2 linked regions of the Schizosaccharomyces pombe genome follow. The protein of the gene in region 2 interacts with the protein of the main gene of each other region in a pairwise test. Each region holds a gene or a part of one and is shown on either strand. Other genes may lie near its edges.

Evidence for each region.
Region 1: the proteins of psg1 (region 2) and ima1 interact in a protein complementation assay, tested with the Schizosaccharomyces pombe proteins (one large-scale study listed by BioGRID).

What each region holds. Positions count from the first base shown.
Region 1 is NC_003421.2:1,887,465-1,893,010, forward strand, and holds ima1 (inner nuclear membrane protein Ima1), read right to left. Parts: upstream 3,401-5,546; 5' UTR 3,009-3,400; coding exon 1,161-3,008; 3' UTR 639-1,160; downstream 1-638. Other genes in the region: qcr7 (ubiquinol-cytochrome-c reductase complex subunit 6), read right to left, coding at 78-491; SPOM_SPCC737.04 (uncharacterized protein), read left to right, coding at 4,633-5,546. UniProt on the Schizosaccharomyces pombe protein: Inner nuclear membrane protein that specifically binds to heterochromatic regions and promotes the tethering of centromeric DNA to the SUN-KASH complex.
Region 2 is NC_003423.3:3,824,678-3,828,481, reverse strand, and holds psg1 (protein psg1), read left to right. Parts: upstream 1-2,155; 5' UTR 2,156-2,267; coding exon 2,268-2,358; exon of another isoform or gene 2,359-2,408; coding exon 2,409-2,878; 3' UTR 2,879-3,304; downstream 3,305-3,804. Other genes in the region: serine/threonine protein kinase (DDK family) Spo4, read right to left, coding at 21-188, 311-1,304; DSIF transcription elongation factor complex subunit Spt4, read left to right, coding at 3,529-3,804.

The sequences.
Region 1 (5,546 bases), on a different chromosome or scaffold from region 2:
TCCGTTTACTACTCTTTTAATTTTCTTGTCGGTTTTCATGAGAGGAATAAGTGGATTAAAGGAGGACATGCAAACTTTTAATGAGCATGAGCAGGAGAAGATGTTGCATGGGCTTGAGTCTCGGGTTTCTTAACAATGAGAGCGTCGAAGGCCTCACGCTCTTTCCTCTCCGCGATAACCTCAGCTAAAACAGGTCTGAGGTAATGGTAATCCTCCTCAGGCTTTGTCCATTCAGATTTTGGCAAAATTTTATTCTCAATGCTAAGTTGCATGGCACGGCGAATACGATAGACTCGATCGTAGGATTCCATCTTAGGCAAACGAGATAACGCCTTTTGAGTATCGTCATTCTCCTCCAACATCAAATCGTCGTATCGAAGACCATATTTACGGTATCCTGACAAATGCACATAGGCATTGGAGATGGGTAAAAGCAATTTCGTCAAAAATGGTGATTTTTGAATATACTTGGCAAGAGACACAGGTTTCATACTTAAACAATCACTTCAGCAAAAAAAAATTTCGTCACTACAAAATTTGCACTGAAATCAATAAAACTCTTAGTTTTGAATATTGGAAGAAGGTAAGATCTCATGGCCCTATAGTATGCCAATGAATCCTTCGGTCACCTGATGTTACCTGCACATAGAATCCTGAGCGGAATTAGAAAGTAATGAAAATCTGAATATCCTAGTATTCTCGGCTCATTTCTCTTAAGTTATTGTTTAACTCTAACGATTTTATAACCTAAACTAATTTAACGACGTGTCTAACATATATTCGGGAATGCACCATTGCTAGTATTCGTATGAACCAGAAGTTTGCTCAGGTTACATGTTCTCTTTCAGTACTAACCTATTGAAACGAATGAAATTTATCAAATAAAACTCGTTAGTATGAAAAATACTTAATTATATAGCTTTAATAGGAAAAAAAAAGTAAATTTATATTGGATCCCATTTGTGCGAATGCGCTAGCTCGAATATGTCGAGTTGCCAGAAAGGAGCTGAAAAACTTTAAACAAATGATAGCGACATAACCGCCTCTGGCAATATTAGTAACGAAATTTATTCCAAAATTGGATAAATTAATGAATGATTGGTTTGCAAAAGAATATATTCCATATTACTTTGCATCCACTTCTTTAAATAGTAACCAGATCAAGCCACCTTTCTTAAAGGATAAAAGTTGTGTTTCATAACATAATATGTGGCTAACACCAATATGCATAAATAGTAAATGAACATAGTAAAACGATTCAAACGCCATCCGCAAATTAACCCAACGAGGAACAAAATTGTGAAAGCAATGAGAAGCTTTGCATTTCGACGATTCCGGTGAAGAACGTTTTTCACCTGAATAACTTCTGTTGGATCGTTCTGAAGGGCTAAAGACTTACTAAAATGACTTTCAAGGCTCACTGGCTCATTTTGAATTTCGCGATTTTGACCATCCCCTGCTTTACCAGTATCTTTCTTTGCAGTGGACTTTAAAGTAGACACGGAAAAAGGTAAATTCTTCTCTATCACGTTATCACCTTTTAGAGATATGGAAGGGTTCAGGGAAAATTTACTTGGCTGATTAGACGTCGTATGAATAGAATCGTTTACTTTGTTGCCCACTTCTTGAGGAACCAGTTTCGATAAAGGAGAATTTTGAAGCTGAAGAGTAGGTTTAAGCATCGGTCGAACAGGACTAGATGTTGGAAGGGCGGCCATTTTTTTTTGAAGAAAAGTCATAGGGGATTCCTCCGGAGCTCTCTCACGAACAGACTGATTTCCCAAATGAGACGTTGCGTTGGTATTATTCAGAATTGAAATTGTCGCAAATTGCTGCAATTTATTCTGCCCACTAATTCCATCTTTTCTGTCACTCGATTCCTTTCCTATCCGATGCACAGAAGATGTACTTTCCTGACGCTTCTTGCGTGGTTTCAAAATTTCGCCAGTCAAATGAACTTCTGGAGGAGGACTTGGCTTTAAACATGAGATGCTAATCCATGTAAAACAAATGGTAACAAAGAAAAAGGCTGCATGTATTTGACGGAGTAAAAAATCACTTTCAAGATTGGTATCCGAGCTTAAGTTCAAAATTTCCGACTCATAACATGAAAGGAGATACAAGCAAGTTAAACGGATAATAAGATAAAGTGCCTGACATTGGATATACTGATCCCGCCCAAAAAGCTCCCAAGATGGATTGTCCATCATTTTGTACCAATACGGGTTCCAAAAGACAACGAAAAAACCAAGCCAATTAAAGTAAAAAATTTTGCTAGAGGATCCATCTAATAGGAAGTAAGAGATTGCTTTTAGAAATAAATTACGAATACCATCTGGTAATAAGCTTATTATCATAGAATGATACAAATGCCACACAATCGATTGCAAATAGAAAAACGAAAAACCAAATCCACGAAGTAACCAAAGAACAAAAGAAGCTTTTGGATAGTGATGGGGGACTTTTGCGTTTAGCTGTTCCTTTGACTTTTGCAGCCAATATCCTAAAACCTGATTTTTGGCTTCATAATCATTGGCATCAAGTTGGTCTTGAACGGAGTCATAGCATTCAGAGCAAACAATGGGAAATTTCTCTTCTATAGATTTTTTATACTCTGGTAATGCCTTCTCATAAGCCTGATAATCTGGATGTGATGAGTCTGGCAGATAATCAGCAAGCATCCGATTCACAATCAGTTGGTTCATTTGACATTTTTCACAAAAGGGGCTCTGAAAGGAAGAACTGCTTGGGAAATCCCGTATCGCGTAAAAAGGACCAACACCCTTGTCTTGAGTTGGGGTTGGAGGTCGATAATCCAGGATATCACCTTTCTCATCAATATGGTTGGTGGCTTCACAAATTGAGCAAGTCCAAGTAGACGTTCCGTCTCTAATTTTTTCCTTCTTCTTGTTGCAATAAAAACAAGTTACTGTTTTATCACCAAAAGTGGATTTCAATCCATCATCGGAATTTCCCAATCCAAGTGTAAACAATCGGCTAGATTCCATTTCCCATTATACCATTTAATGCAAAGTTCTCATAGAATCCTGTGTGTGCAAATTTAAAAAAAAAAAGGGAAACAACAAGTCAAACCAGCACACGTAAGAAGAAAACCAAACAACTGATATTCTGTGAGTTAACGGAAATAAAATGCATGTAAATATCTTTTATATCAAGGTACAAGGTGTAATGGTACAGAGGACCCCTTATACAGAATGACCTTTATCAAACACTTGTGCTGCTTGACAAAGTAAAAGAGAAGTACTAAATAACGAGTGAAGTAACAATTAGATACACTTGAATAGTATAAAAGTTTTCTTGAAATGTTGAGCAAGAAAACTCGAAGATTTCGACTATACAGTTTCCCCACGGTGCTCGTGGTGAGAATAGGGAAAAGGCCGACCGTCAGCAGGGTCCCAAGCCAATTCGTAGCGGGTTGTCAGAACAAAGTTCAAACAAATTGAGGATAAAAGGAGTTTTTGAAGAAATGAGCTGTTTAATTTTTTTTTGTTTGTATTTTCTTTTTCGAGCTTCCTAGAAAAAAAAAATTTGAACCATTGTACCAGAAGAACGATCAGTGTTTGTGGCTTATTTTTAGAGCCTTACTTATGATATGCTCTACGACGCATTGAAGTGGAATGCAATGAGAAATATCTTAATAAATTTTCTTTTTAATAAAACCAACCGCTCTTAATTTGTTAGGTGAAAGTCAACAAAAAATCTTTTTGGTATTTTATGCAAATAATTCGTTTAACAAAAAGTTTAATAGTTTTTAAGTTCGCTTAATTTTTAAGCTACAAAGGAACGAGTTTGAGAAGTTGTGTAGAAAAGTATTGACAAAATGTAGGCTGAGTGGATGTCTACAACAATGCCTACAAGCCATCGTTAAATGTCAAATGTATTGATGAAACAAGCCGCTTTTAAATGAAAGATTGCATTTGCATCTTAAGCTTGCGCCAACATTGACTGTTGCCCCATTGTAAAAAAAAAATTCAATAATGTCTGTCAATGGAAACGGTGTATGTCACTGACTCCAAAAGGTCATAATCATGAATTAAGCACGAAAACGAAAATTTCATACAAGTAGTTCATTTTTACTTTTCAATCCTTATTGCATGTTGAGAAAGGAAATCTAGTCTTGTAACTATAAGCAATAGACAGCATGATCATCTCTATTCTATTACAAGTTGATTAAAATTGATATGCTGCGCCATTAATTAACTTACGAGAGGCTCATCGCTACGATGAAATGGCTTAGACCATGATTATACAAAATATTATAGGGTAGAGACGATTAGGAAATTGGATGTCTTCGTAAACTTGAAATAGGACGAGTTGCGAAAGTTGATGTTTTACGTGGCTTGGGGAGCGTTGTTAGGAAAAGCATGATGAAGATGGCAAAATGGCTAAGCTAAGATAAACGATTTCATATTTAGTATTTAACAGGAAACAAAGCCCTTTGGAAAGAACCAAATTTTAATAATTTTTTTTTTTTACTTCATTTCATTACCTTTTATTTTTAAGTTGGACGCACTGTGGTTTTGAGATTCTGGATATTGGTATCCTTTTTCTTCTTTTCTACGATTCTCGAAGTTTTAAAAGTTTCAAAGTATTTTACCGACATTCGACAATATGTCGATATCTAATCAATCGGGTTTGGATATTTTGAGAGAAGTTGATGATGAAGGTCAGGAAAACTCTTTCTTGAGAAAGACTACAAGGAAAATCCAGCAGTTTTTTAAATCGGATCCGGGCTATCAATCTCGCAAAGCCGAGTACAACAGTCCTGCTAAGGCTACGGGCGATGTGAATATTAATGTTACGAGTCAGGATTGGTTATCCAAGTTGGATCGTAATCTATCCATCGAGAATTTAACAGGTAAAAGCTTGGGTATCGTAGTAGTGTCTGGGAGAAATAAAGGTCTCATAAAGAATCCGTTTTTAGGGGGGTTAGTGGATATTGTTATGCGTCGACAGGATAAACTATATCTCAAAAGTGTTGAGCAAGTGTCTTCTGAATATTCACCGATGCAGGAACAGGTGTACGAGTTCAAAGTAGATATGCCTTTGGTGCAGAAACGATTAGGGGCTTTTTTAAAGAAGAATCGAGTAGATGGATTAAGCCTTTCGATGCATTTTTCTACCGGCAACTATAGCTTGCCAGTATTAATTCGACATGTTTTACTATACGATTATTACACTGACGACATGAAGGACTCCCTATGGAGAGCAATGATCATCTACGTGTCCCGGCAGGTCACTTCCAATAAGTACACGAAATTTCATCTTTGGTGCGTACAAAAGCGGATTGGCAATATTAGAATGTACTTGGTACGACCGGGAGACGTTTATTCATTCCAAGGACAAACTAGTTGGGCCGCCATTTGCAACAAAAGTTACATGTGCAATATCCAGTTGGAGCAGAGTCCTGAAGTTAGTGTTAAAAGTTCTTTACCAAAATATAGCAATGAACCAATTTTCCAAAGCAAAACGATAAGTCAAGAAGAAGTTGGATGGTTGTTGTTTATGCTCTCTATAGGTAATCA
Region 2 (3,804 bases):
TTTTTGGGATTTGCACGTACGATGTAATTCTAATAACTTGTCCAACAAGTCAATGGCTAAAGCCACTTGATAATCTGAGCTTGTCTCTAAAATTAAATTCTCATCATTCTTCGTAATGCTAGCAATTAGGTCTAGCCAATTATGCTTTTGATCTAGTAGAGTCGGAATGTTATCTGACCAAATTTGTCCTGAGAGAAATACAAGTTAGCACCTCAAAAGTTGTCTCAAAAAGATTTGAAGCATTGGTTAGAAAACGATTTCTCTCTTCGTTTTTTCAACTTTTACGCTCAAGTGTTTAATAACTACTTACCATGTAATAATGCGCAGTTTGACATGCCATTTCTTCCAAAGATATGTGCTAATTCTACGATTGCATCGATATCATCTTCACAGCGGAAAAAAGGATATCGATGTGTTAAAAAACACAACAAAATGACTCCCACTGACCACACATCAATTGAGGATGTTTGATTTTGGCATCGAAACAATACCTCAGGCGCTCGAAATCCTCTTGTTCCGGCTCGGTCAGCACGTTTTGTAGGCCTTGGATCATGTAGCAAGTAACCCTCTGGAGGATCTGCTATCGTTTTCTCAAATGGAAAATAATCGTAATATTTTCCTTCTTGCTTCAGTTTTCTCAATTTATCGACACAGCAATTTTCTGTAGGTGCATCTGCCTCTTGCCATTGAGCTAATCCAAAGTCAAGTATGACTCCCCTTTGGGTGTAAGGATTCCAAGCAAAGTTACCTGGTTTGATATCTCGATGAATTATGCCCTTTGCATCTATATGTGCCAACCCTTTCAAGAGGTCTCTTAAGTACGCACCAATTTCTGGAAGAGAATATTTCATATAGAAGTCCCGGAACTCTGCATGTTGTATAAACGGTAGTACAATTAACACTTGATCTTGATGTCTTACAGCAGTTATCATATTTAGTACACAATCACTGCCTCGTAGTTCATGTAGCATCTCAAGTTCAGTTTGGATTCTTGAGGGAAGAACGGTGGCATAAATTCTTTTCAATGCAACAAAATGGTTTTTTGGTCTCTTGGTTTTGTCATGGGGCATCTGATCTTCTATTTGAGATGATATCCAGTAGGAGTTATCGTAGCTATCGAAATGTCTATCCACCGCTTTAAAGACGCTGCTAAAACTTCCTGCTCCTACTAACTTAACCACATGATAGTCTTCTTCAATGGTAGGGAATGCTTGCACCAATTTAGCAATTTCTGGTCGATCTTCTCGATCTACATCACTGGCGTATACACCTGAATTTCCGAAAGGTAATAGCATGGAAAGCATTTCCTGTTTTAATTTTTATTTTAGTCGCCTTTTGTTTGGTAAAGTGCGGGCTGTTAGATGAGGCACAATTTTCATTAATAGTTTGTTTGTTTGTTTACTTCGCCAAACCCAAATATTTCCCTCTAAGCAAAACTTACTTTTTGTTCCCTAAGCTTTGCTATATCGGCCCAAAGCAAATGAAAATGTAAACAAATGATGCCAATGAAGCACTCCAATTTGTTTATACAAATTTTCAATCCATGATCATCATTAAACGGTAGACAGTGTCAAAGTAAATTACTAGACCAGCTAGTAATTTAAATTACATATATTTCCTTTATAAAAAAATTTACTTTAGCTCTATAACTGGTAACATTTAGAGTCCTATTTAGAACGAAAGCATAATTTATCAAAATTTTTTAGTATGTAAACAATAAACAGCACACCTGTCATAACCAATTTTTGAGATTTCTTCAACACTTGGTTGATTCTTTACTAAATTAATTTAATATTATTATTTTTTCTGTTTATTTCTTGTACATTGTTAAAGGTTTTTGTTTATTGTTTACTGCTTACTACTGCAGTTCGTTTCCAACATAATTATATGCTAGACTGTTATAAATAGCTTTTTCTTTCTATACTTTAAGCCATGCGGATACGGCAAACGAATAACCGAAATTTATTTTATTAGTGTAAAGTTATCTGGGTTCTGATGACAGCATTTTCAACTCATATATTTCCACTCTAAAAAGGATTTACTAATTTTTTTTGTTGAATACGATAACAGTATCATTCGAATATATACAATGATATCGCATTAACGAGTACGAGTTAATTTTACACTTCCGTCCCTGGCTGTTGATGTATCTTCCGCAGACAATTGCCGTATCACTGAGTCTATGCTAAAGACATTGTAAGATTCACGTTAGAGAAGACCGTTTTTTTATTTTTTTTAAGCTACAAAGAAAACTTCGGGTTCACAAAATGAAATTCTTTCTAGGATCTGCTTTATTCTTAATCCTTACTTTTATCAATCTTGTTCGGGCTGAATTTGAGTTCATCACTCCTGCTGAAGGTATGTTTTTTATTTAATTTTTAGTATTGTAAAACTGACTTTTGTTTAAGATTCTCGATGGGCTAGAGGATTTACTTATGCTGTCAAATGGAAACAACCCACTGAACAGTTTGTCGAAATTGCTTTGCAATATGCCGACTCCAATAACACATTGATTACGAGCAGTGGTGTTATTCCTTCCAACCAAACTTACTGGATGGTAAAGATAGATAAGAAATGGCTTATGAAGATGGACAACATTACTGCGCGAGTTGTTGCTGTTCCTCAAAATGGTACCGCCAGCACGGTATATGTGGGTCCACAGGTCCTATTAGCGAACACGTTTTACTGGAAGATGGTAGTGGATGTTTCCCCTGCATTTTCTGTAAACCCGATTGACAAGAAACTTGCAATTGGGTTATCCGTTGGTTTATCCTGTTGCATACTGATCGTTCTATTTCTTCATTTTGCAACTAGGAGAGAAAGAAGGATTTTAAAAAACGAGAAAGAGCTGGAAATGTCTTCATATAGAAAGCATTAGCGTTTCTACTTTTCTGCGCCAAAAAATATACTATCTCATTCATCAGAACTGTTTCTATAGAGTAAATGGTCCATTATTAATTGGAAGGTAATACGCATTGCTTCTTAACTTTAAATTCAATGGCCTCTTTCACCATTCCTTGTCTGTCCGCTTTACTCCATTATTCGTTCCTTAATCACGCATGCTTCCAATACAGCTTTTGGGTCACATGTTTATTTATCTAAGGTACTTTTCATGTAAAATACCATTATTAGATTTACCCAAATTGACACTTTGGGTGTGTAGTTTTGCATTCTTATCTCACAACTTTTCCAATTGTCGCTACCGCATGCTCCTTTATTGTAATAATGAGGCCATCATTTTTTAGTTCTGATGGCTAGACTTTATTGTTTAATTTAGTTTTATAAAATTTTTGTTTTCCTGGAACTTGTGAGTTGTATGGTTAAAATTGTAATTAAGAGACTGATATCGCAACATTAAACGTTTAGCTAGCAAATACAAAATGTGTATCTTTTACTGTTTTATTAAGCAGCTTCGTTCGATATTCTGGTTCATTTATAATTAATATTTGTTTGATAGGTATTGCACTTTCTTTCGTGTTTGTAACTCAACCATAACCAAACACACTTGCATTGTATAAACCTCACAGCATGGATAAGCTAAATAGGACTAGATCAAGAGCATGTCTCATTTGTGGAATTGTTTTGCCTCATAGTGTTTTTGCTAACAAAGGCTGTCCGAACGATGGTGTAGACGACGTGGAAACATTTACCTCGCCAGTATTTGAAGGAATAATGGCAATGATGAGTCCCACCGAATCTTGGGTTGCCAGATGGCAGAGAATCGATACTTTTACTCCCGGAATCTATGCGACTCGTGTTCAAGGTGTATTAAACGAAGATGTAGTTGAATCTTTGCGTCGCAGA